2 linked regions of the Xenopus tropicalis genome follow. The protein of the gene in region 1 purifies or fractionates together with the protein of each later gene. This does not show direct contact. Links are inferred from orthologs where the notes say so. Each region holds a gene or a part of one and is shown in the gene's direction. Other genes may lie near its edges.

The links. Proteins that work in one complex are often made in the same cells at the same time.
Region 2: the proteins of nup107 (region 1) and nup43 purify together in Homo sapiens (affinity purification with mass spectrometry; 8 studies listed by BioGRID and IntAct, counting the BioPlex papers as one, with this or other methods). This does not show direct contact. The link is inferred for Xenopus tropicalis from reciprocal best matches to the Homo sapiens genes NUP107 and NUP43.

What each region holds. Positions count from the first base shown.
Region 1 is NC_030679.2:58,822,675-58,826,632, forward strand, and holds the start of nup107 (nuclear pore complex protein Nup107), read left to right. Parts: upstream 1-1,158; 5' UTR 1,159-1,216; coding exon 1,217-1,314; intron 1,315-1,440; coding exon 1,441-1,532; intron 1,533-2,412; coding exon 2,413-2,493; intron 2,494-3,465; coding exon 3,466-3,581; intron 3,582-3,958. UniProt on the Homo sapiens protein: Plays a role in the nuclear pore complex (NPC) assembly and/or maintenance. Required for the assembly of peripheral proteins into the NPC. May anchor NUP62 to the NPC. Involved in nephrogenesis.
Region 2 is NC_030681.2:58,282,635-58,286,134, reverse strand, and holds part of nup43 (nucleoporin Nup43), read left to right. Parts: intron 1-2,441; coding exon 2,442-2,610; intron 2,611-3,500. UniProt on the Homo sapiens protein: Component of the Nup107-160 subcomplex of the nuclear pore complex (NPC). The Nup107-160 subcomplex is required for the assembly of a functional NPC.

The sequences.
Region 1 (3,958 bases):
CTCCCTTTATCAACTGCTGGACCCGCCCCTTGATTTTTGGCTCCAAACTTAAGCACACCTCCTCCCAGACTGCACTGGGACATCCAGCCAATCGAGTTCTCTGATCCCCTACACATGAATGCTACAGGTACTGCTTTTGCCAACTCCTGGTCTGGGATCTCTTACCCCCTGCCCCTGATGCTCCACCCCCACAAAGTCTGCACACCTTGCGCGCAGCACTTCCCCCCCTTCACAATGTCCACGTGCATTCATTCACAGATGGGGTTGCAGCGGGGGTGAGGTGGTCGGCCAGGTTGCCTAAAGGTGGCAATACAATTATGCAATTATGCTATTTCCTGCGACCACTTTCATTCAAAGCTGAATTGTCAGATATGGAGGTATCCAATCTACCGATTCAGCCTTTAACGTAGATTTTGCAGCCTTTGGGTTATTAGTTTATAAGGTTATTAGTCTCATCAATCGCCAGCTTAAAGCTTGGCCTGCCTCTAAGTCTTCTACTAAATCAGCCCTTAGTTTGCACAAAACCACCAGAACCCTCAAAGTACAAAAAAACCCCTAAAAACATGACCTCATTTCACTTGGCCCTAGTTTTCACAATAACTCTTCCCTTTTTGGTCAGACTGGGAGAAAAGGTTCTGACGGCAGCCGGTACCGTTAGCAACCAGGAAACTCTTTTTTAGCTCCCTGGCAATGACAAGGATCTCTGAGCAGAAAAGATAATTGACTTGGAGGAAATATTGAGATTCGAGGTGGAGGAGAGCAATCACCTCCTAAGAAGAGTCTTTTTTTTCCCTTTTTGTTCTCCAACAAAAGTAGGAAGTGCGAGCAGAACAAATCCAAGCTACTTATTAGCAGCTACCAATTGTGTAACGCCGCCTTACTGGGTAGCGCACTGTCTCTGCTCGTCACTCCCATAAGGCGGCTACGTGATGCGTCACGACGCTTGCGTGTAGTTGTACGTCACAGTCTCGCGTGAGGAGACATGTGGAGTCGGGATTTTCTGTAAGACAGGAGGCTAGGAGCTTGCAATTAACAGCTTTACGGGAGGAGTAAGTAGCAAAGGTGTAAGTAGCAATCTGCGGCTGCTGGCTGTGTTACGAAAATCGGGATCGACAAGCGGGACTGTTGGGTAGTATTCAGTTAGGGGTTAGTCAGGGTCCCTGCTGTCAGTACGCTGCACACTTTGAATGGGAGGGCGGGAGCTTACGGTACCTACATGTTCTCTCTCTGCAGCTTTCGGTACTTCTGGCTTATTCACAGAAGTTTTAGTCCCGTTCTATTGAGTAGACTGAAGGACTGTTCTCCCTCTAGCCTGTATGTATCGGTCTGCTAGACTTTTCTGTTACATGTTTGCAACCTTGTGTGCATCATAGCGGGACTTTCTCACAGAATACACATCGAACATAGGAAGGACTGACCCCGTGTTGTGCTCTCTTGCAGCAGGACCAGCATGGATATGCTTTCGCCGGTAGTGCGGGAGGCAGAGGTTTCTAGAGCAGCTCGCCGCCAAAGCTCCAACAGGAGGAATCCTGGTATCCTTTTGTAATGTGAACTATCATCACAAATCACTGGTGTCCCCAATAATATCAAACGGGAAGGCTTTTGATCAAACAAAAATGACATTGGAAGTTAACAGAAATTTTTGGTTGTCATTTATCTATTACTATAATTTCTTTGTGATTAGTGTTTATGTTTTGCATGTCATTTTTTTCTAAAATCAATGGAAGGGCCCCTCCTTTATTGAGTCCCCTTTGTTTTAAATGGTTAAGGCTTCATTTTTAAATCTGTGTTGATTAAATGTGATAGTATATTTAAGTTTGCAGTGTCTGAGTATTACTCTAATTAAGGAAATAACCCATCGTAGGAGTAGGTTGGGTGGGTTTTTATTAATATTAACAGGCTGTTTATGGACCACAGATGTTTGATAGCAGTACCTGCACCAAAAACACAGTAATAGGCCTTTTATTGTCTTTGATGGGTTAATTTAATAAATGCGTCTTGTCTTGTAATCCATAGGAGCCAATCAGCATGTAGCACTTACTGCTATGGGTTAATATGTGTGACCAAACTTAAGCCTTTATTACATTATCCTACATGTCTCTAAAGCAAATAACATGGTTAACCCTGTCTCTTAGGCATTCCCCGTCATGACTCCCTGACTTTTTGCCTTACATGAATGCAACAGAACCAGTATTGCACTTTTTTGTTCTTTTTTTGTTCTGAGGCTATGCATGGGCAATGCAATTACAGTGTAATAAGAAACGCAAACAACAATAATGATTAGTTACTTTAAGCTGGAAAGTCGGCTAATATTTTCCCGGTGCTTGCTTGTTTCCCTGGTACTGTTTAGAGAGGAAATATTGAACTGATTCCAGAAAAAGCTTTTGTTGCCACACTTAACGTCTTGCCTAGCTGATGAGAGCTGGAGCAATGCAACACCAGCAAGAGGCCCATTATCTCGCACAACAGGACAAACACTATTTCGACAGCACAGTAAGATGTTTATATATAAACTGGGTCTGCAGTTGATAATCATGGGCTTGTTTGATTCATCTTGTAGAAACTGTCCCACTGACTTGTGTTTTACAAATATCAGCATTCAGTCATGGTTATTATAAAATTCAGATGAGTTTGTATAGTAACCTGCTTGTGTAGACATTTTGGTTAAGGGCATTCTTGCTGTTTTGCCATTTCTTGATGATGATATTCCTATTCCTGTCTTGTGCTTCCTGTTAAGCTGAGAGCAGGCCAAATCTACCTGCCATGTTCTAATAAATATACCAAAAGTTCCAGTGTGTATCTGACTACTTTACCTGAACTAACACAGCCGCAGTATTAACCCACTGCTAGCCAGCAGTTTATTACAGTGGGGGCGAGGATGAGATTTATAATGCTGAGAGAGGGTCTCTCGAACTACAGCTCTGACAAAATCCTTAAGCCATATCTTGAAAAGAGAGATGAGCTTTCCATAGATCAAGGTTGTTTACTGTGGGGGATACGGGTTGTCATTCCCCCTAAAATATCGTCAGAGGCTCTTGCATGAACTTCACGAAGGCCATCCAGGTGTAAACAGGATGAAAGCACAAGCTTGTGGTTACCTGTGGTGGCCAGGCCTGGATCAAGATATAGAATTTTTTGTAAGTCAGTGTACTGCTTGTGCTTCTGTAACACGAGCTCGTGCTTTCATCCTGTTTACACCTGGATGGCCTTCGTGAAGTTCATGCAAGAGCCTCTGACGATATTTTGGGGGAATGACAACCCGTATCCCCCACAGTAAACAACCCTTATCTATGGAAAGCTCATCTCTCTTTTCAAAATATGGCTTAAGGATTTTGTCAGAGCTGCAGTTTATTACAGTTTGGATATAAGAAAAAAGTAATACTGAACATAGTATTTATGCTGTGAAAGTCTTTTTTTTTTTTTTTTGCTTTCTGGTATGTAAATGTACTTTTCACCTTTACCTAGTGACGCCACAAACCTGGAATTCTTCAAGGCCACCAGATGTTTCGGCAATACTGGGCACTGTAGGGCGATCACCTCGCTTGGTACAGACTCCTGGGCGTTTGGCAAACATGTCTATGGTAAGACAATCCATTCTACAGAAGGCATTAAGGCGGCACAACACAGGCAGATTTCAGCTGCCGATTCAGGTCCTTAAGGCCTTAGGGGCAGCTTATCTGCCCGTGTATGGGAACCCCCGACAAGCCTAGCCAACTGACATCTGGCCTAAAATTGTGCAGATTCCGACAGGTTTGATTTTTCCATTGGATGAACAAGCCGATGCGGTCCTCGGTCCGACGGCACTGTCTAATTGGCCCAATATTGCCCACCTAAGGTGGGTAATTGGAAGAAGATCCGCTCTTTTGGTGACCTTGCCAAACCAGTGAATCTTACAGTGTATGGCCACCTTTAGTCTTCAGTTTCTCTTTCATGTGATTTATCCTATACGTATTTTGTG
Region 2 (3,500 bases), on another chromosome or scaffold:
ATTGGTGTTTTCTTTAGAAACACTAGTATAGTGATAAACGGTTATATAGCTTAAAAAAAGTAACCTCTGTTGAGAACACATAACCACATCTCTACATCTGCAATAAGCTGCATAAGCTATTTGGCTCCAATCCACTTCCTCACCTTGTTCCATTATTAAGCTAGTGCCACATGTAGCTATTTCTCTGGCTGCATTTTAGTAAATCTGCTCCCATCCATGCAACTCCCTGTATGTGTCGGCTTTATGCACAAAAATGAGAGATTATGCATTTTTCCACTCCATGTGTTTGCACATAGGCCAATGCATTGCCTGTCAGGGCAGATACAAGTGTAAATGCATAAGTGTAGATCAGCTGAAAATCAGGTGGAGAAATAACCACGTTGCATTAGCTTAACAATGGACCTCAGGTCTCAGAATCCATTACATTTGTTTTCCTTAAAATTTTTGCACAACCCACAATGGAAGGCAAGTCTGAGAATCCATCACTTTACAGTGGAGCAAGGAGAGGCTTACATTACACTGTGAGCCTAAAGCTGGCCATACACGCACCGATACTATCGTACGAAACCTCGTTTCATACGATATTCGGTGCGTGTATGGCATGTCGGCGAGTCGACCGATATCGCAGGAAGCTGCTGATATCGGACGACTCGCCGATCGGCCAGGTTAGAAAATTGGCATGTTGGCGAGGCGCCATAGAAGGCGCCTGACCAAAGTCTGCCGTCAGGGCTGAATCGGCAGAAGGAGGTAGAAATCCTATTGTTTCTACCTTTTTATCTGCTGTTTCAGCCCTGACTGTGTGTGGCGGATCTGACAATGTTTCGTGCGACCATCGGTCAGATCGCCACGTGTATGGCCAGCTTAAGAGGAAGTTTAGAAAAGTTATGTGTAACATTGCTTCCTTTTAAACAGGCACATTTGATTTTCATAGTAGATAGTAGGAATGCAATGAATCTATTATTTTGGGATCTAGCCAAAACCCAAATCCTTTGTGAAAGATTCAGCTGAATACCAAATACCAAAACCAAATCCGAATCTTAATTAAACATTTCAATTTCTGTATTCATGTGACAAAAAATCATGTGATTTTAAGGATTCGGCGAGGCACATGCATTAGGCTGCTGAAAAAGGCAGAATCCTGAAGTGAAACCTGTTTTCGGTGCCTTACCTGTCAGATTGAGGACTGCATCTGCATATTGACCCGTCCCTTTATCCGACTATCTGCATAAAGGCCATTTGACCAAGCAATATTATCCTGATATTGCCCACCTCAAGGTGGCCATTTTGGTAAAAGATTCATCTGTTTAGTGATCCTCATGCATATGGGCAACATTGAGATAGCTGTAATGAATGATATTTGCCCTGTCTAATGGACAGTTGTTGAATAATGAGCTGTGCTATAGCTGGCCATACACAGTAATATTTTGGCAACAGGATACTGCTTCATACAGGACTGCTGGGAATCACTGTAAAGTTTATTTGTAGCAAAACATTGTTTACCTGGGTCAGCTTTTTGGGGGTTTTTTGGCCTTCTAAAGTATGTTTATTTCTGGTTGGATACTTTGAAGCATTTTACACATGTGGTTTCTGAAATTCCATAATGTTTGTAAAACAATGCATATTTGGTACTGACATGTTTGGCAATGGAGCCTATATACTGTGGTGCTGTGCTGCAGAAGTACATGAAAAAGGGGAAAAAAAAGTAAAAACATCCATTTTAGATTAAAGGTGGCCATACACGGGCAGGTTTAAGTTGCCGGTTCGAGTCCTTCAGACAAATCCAGCAGCTTGTCTACCTTAGGTGGACATATCGGGAGAAAGATCTGCTCGTTTGGCGACCTTGCCAAACGAGTAAATCTTAATATGTGTGGCCACCTTAAGTGTTGCATGTCAACCTTTAAATGATATGTAAACCCCTAAATAAAATTGTCTAATGAAAGAAAAAGTAATTTTATTTGTAAATGTGATTGCAATTGAAAGTGGTATTTTTTATCCCTTTGTGCTGCTAGTTTTGTATCTTAAAATAATGTAGCAGAAATCAGCCTTGTATTCTTCTTCACAGGTTTGTAAATTAGCTGGCTTCTGTTACATTGTTTCTAAAGTATAGAAATGGACAGACAGCTTTTGCTTTCAAAAGCAATTATATTTACAAATAACTTTGAAGACATTGATCATTTTATGTATAATTAAAAGCTGCTTAGAATTACATTCTTTCATTGAAAGCGTTCCAGTTCTGTATTTTGAACTCATTTTTCACATAGCCTAAGAATCCTTTCTAAACTTTACAATATTGTATCATGCAGTTCTTGCCCTAAGTTAGGTCCACTTCAGTTGTATTGAATTACAAATATTTCTAATCATTATTTATCGCAAAACTTGTCACTTTGCTCCCTGTAGTTCTATGCCTGTTGAAAGATTTTTTTTTTCTTCTATATATCGAGACTTTATCAGTAAACCAAAAGTGGGAACAGGCACATTATCATGTTGGATCAAACATGAGAGCTCCTTGCACTGGCATTGTATGTAGCAGTCCCGAAATCGTTTCTGTTGGGGAGGACGGCCGAATAAACTGTTTCCGTGCTGAGAGCAGAGATGTTGTGAGAACAATAGGTAGGTTTTTTTTTCCCTTGCACATATATAGGAGTTTTTTTTTTAACCTGTTTTTAGTGAAACAATATTTAGGAAGTTGATAGAAATAAGAAAAAGCATGTCAGAAGGGATAGACAGTTTTTAGATATATATTATAAACAGTCTGTATTATATACTTTAGATAGCAGAAAGACCTGTACATCTGTAGTGGATAAACCTTTAATAATTTGTTTTTTCTGATGAAGTAAGTATGAACTTCTTGCAGAAGATGTGGATGCTTGGATTTCGCCAACGCATTTTATACTGTTTTGCATAAATTATTGCTTTGGGTCTGCTTTCTATGCAGGCCAATAAATTCCATCCAGGAAGTATGCTCTTGGAAAGGGCTCTGGACAATCTGGGTGGCTTAGTGGCAGATGAAATTATGCTTTTGGAATTTAAAAATATACAATATACATAAATATTCAAATAATGAGAAATAGGCTGTAGGTGCAGAAACTGCTGCAGGTGCACTTTTATTGGCACAAGTGTGTTGTAGATAATAACTTGGTTGTAGCAAGCAATGCCAGTCAGCAGGTTGGAAGGGCCAACCATAGATATCAAACGGTAACAGCCCAACCTCCACTTGAATAATGTCATAGAATAAGGAACGATACAGATTGAACCATGGTCATACATTTGCAGATAACCTTAAGAATTTTTTAATAAACATTATGGTTACAACAGCAGCACATATTTAGTGGCTCTACTAAATATACTTGTGGGTGATGCTGTAGCCAAACCCCAGACTATTTATAACTTCTTAATTCAGATCCTGGTATATACAGTAGCAGTATCTCCATTGTACATATTTCTTTCATTTTATTTAATTTAATTGTTATTGATAGCTTGGCTGAGTGTACGAACCCCTG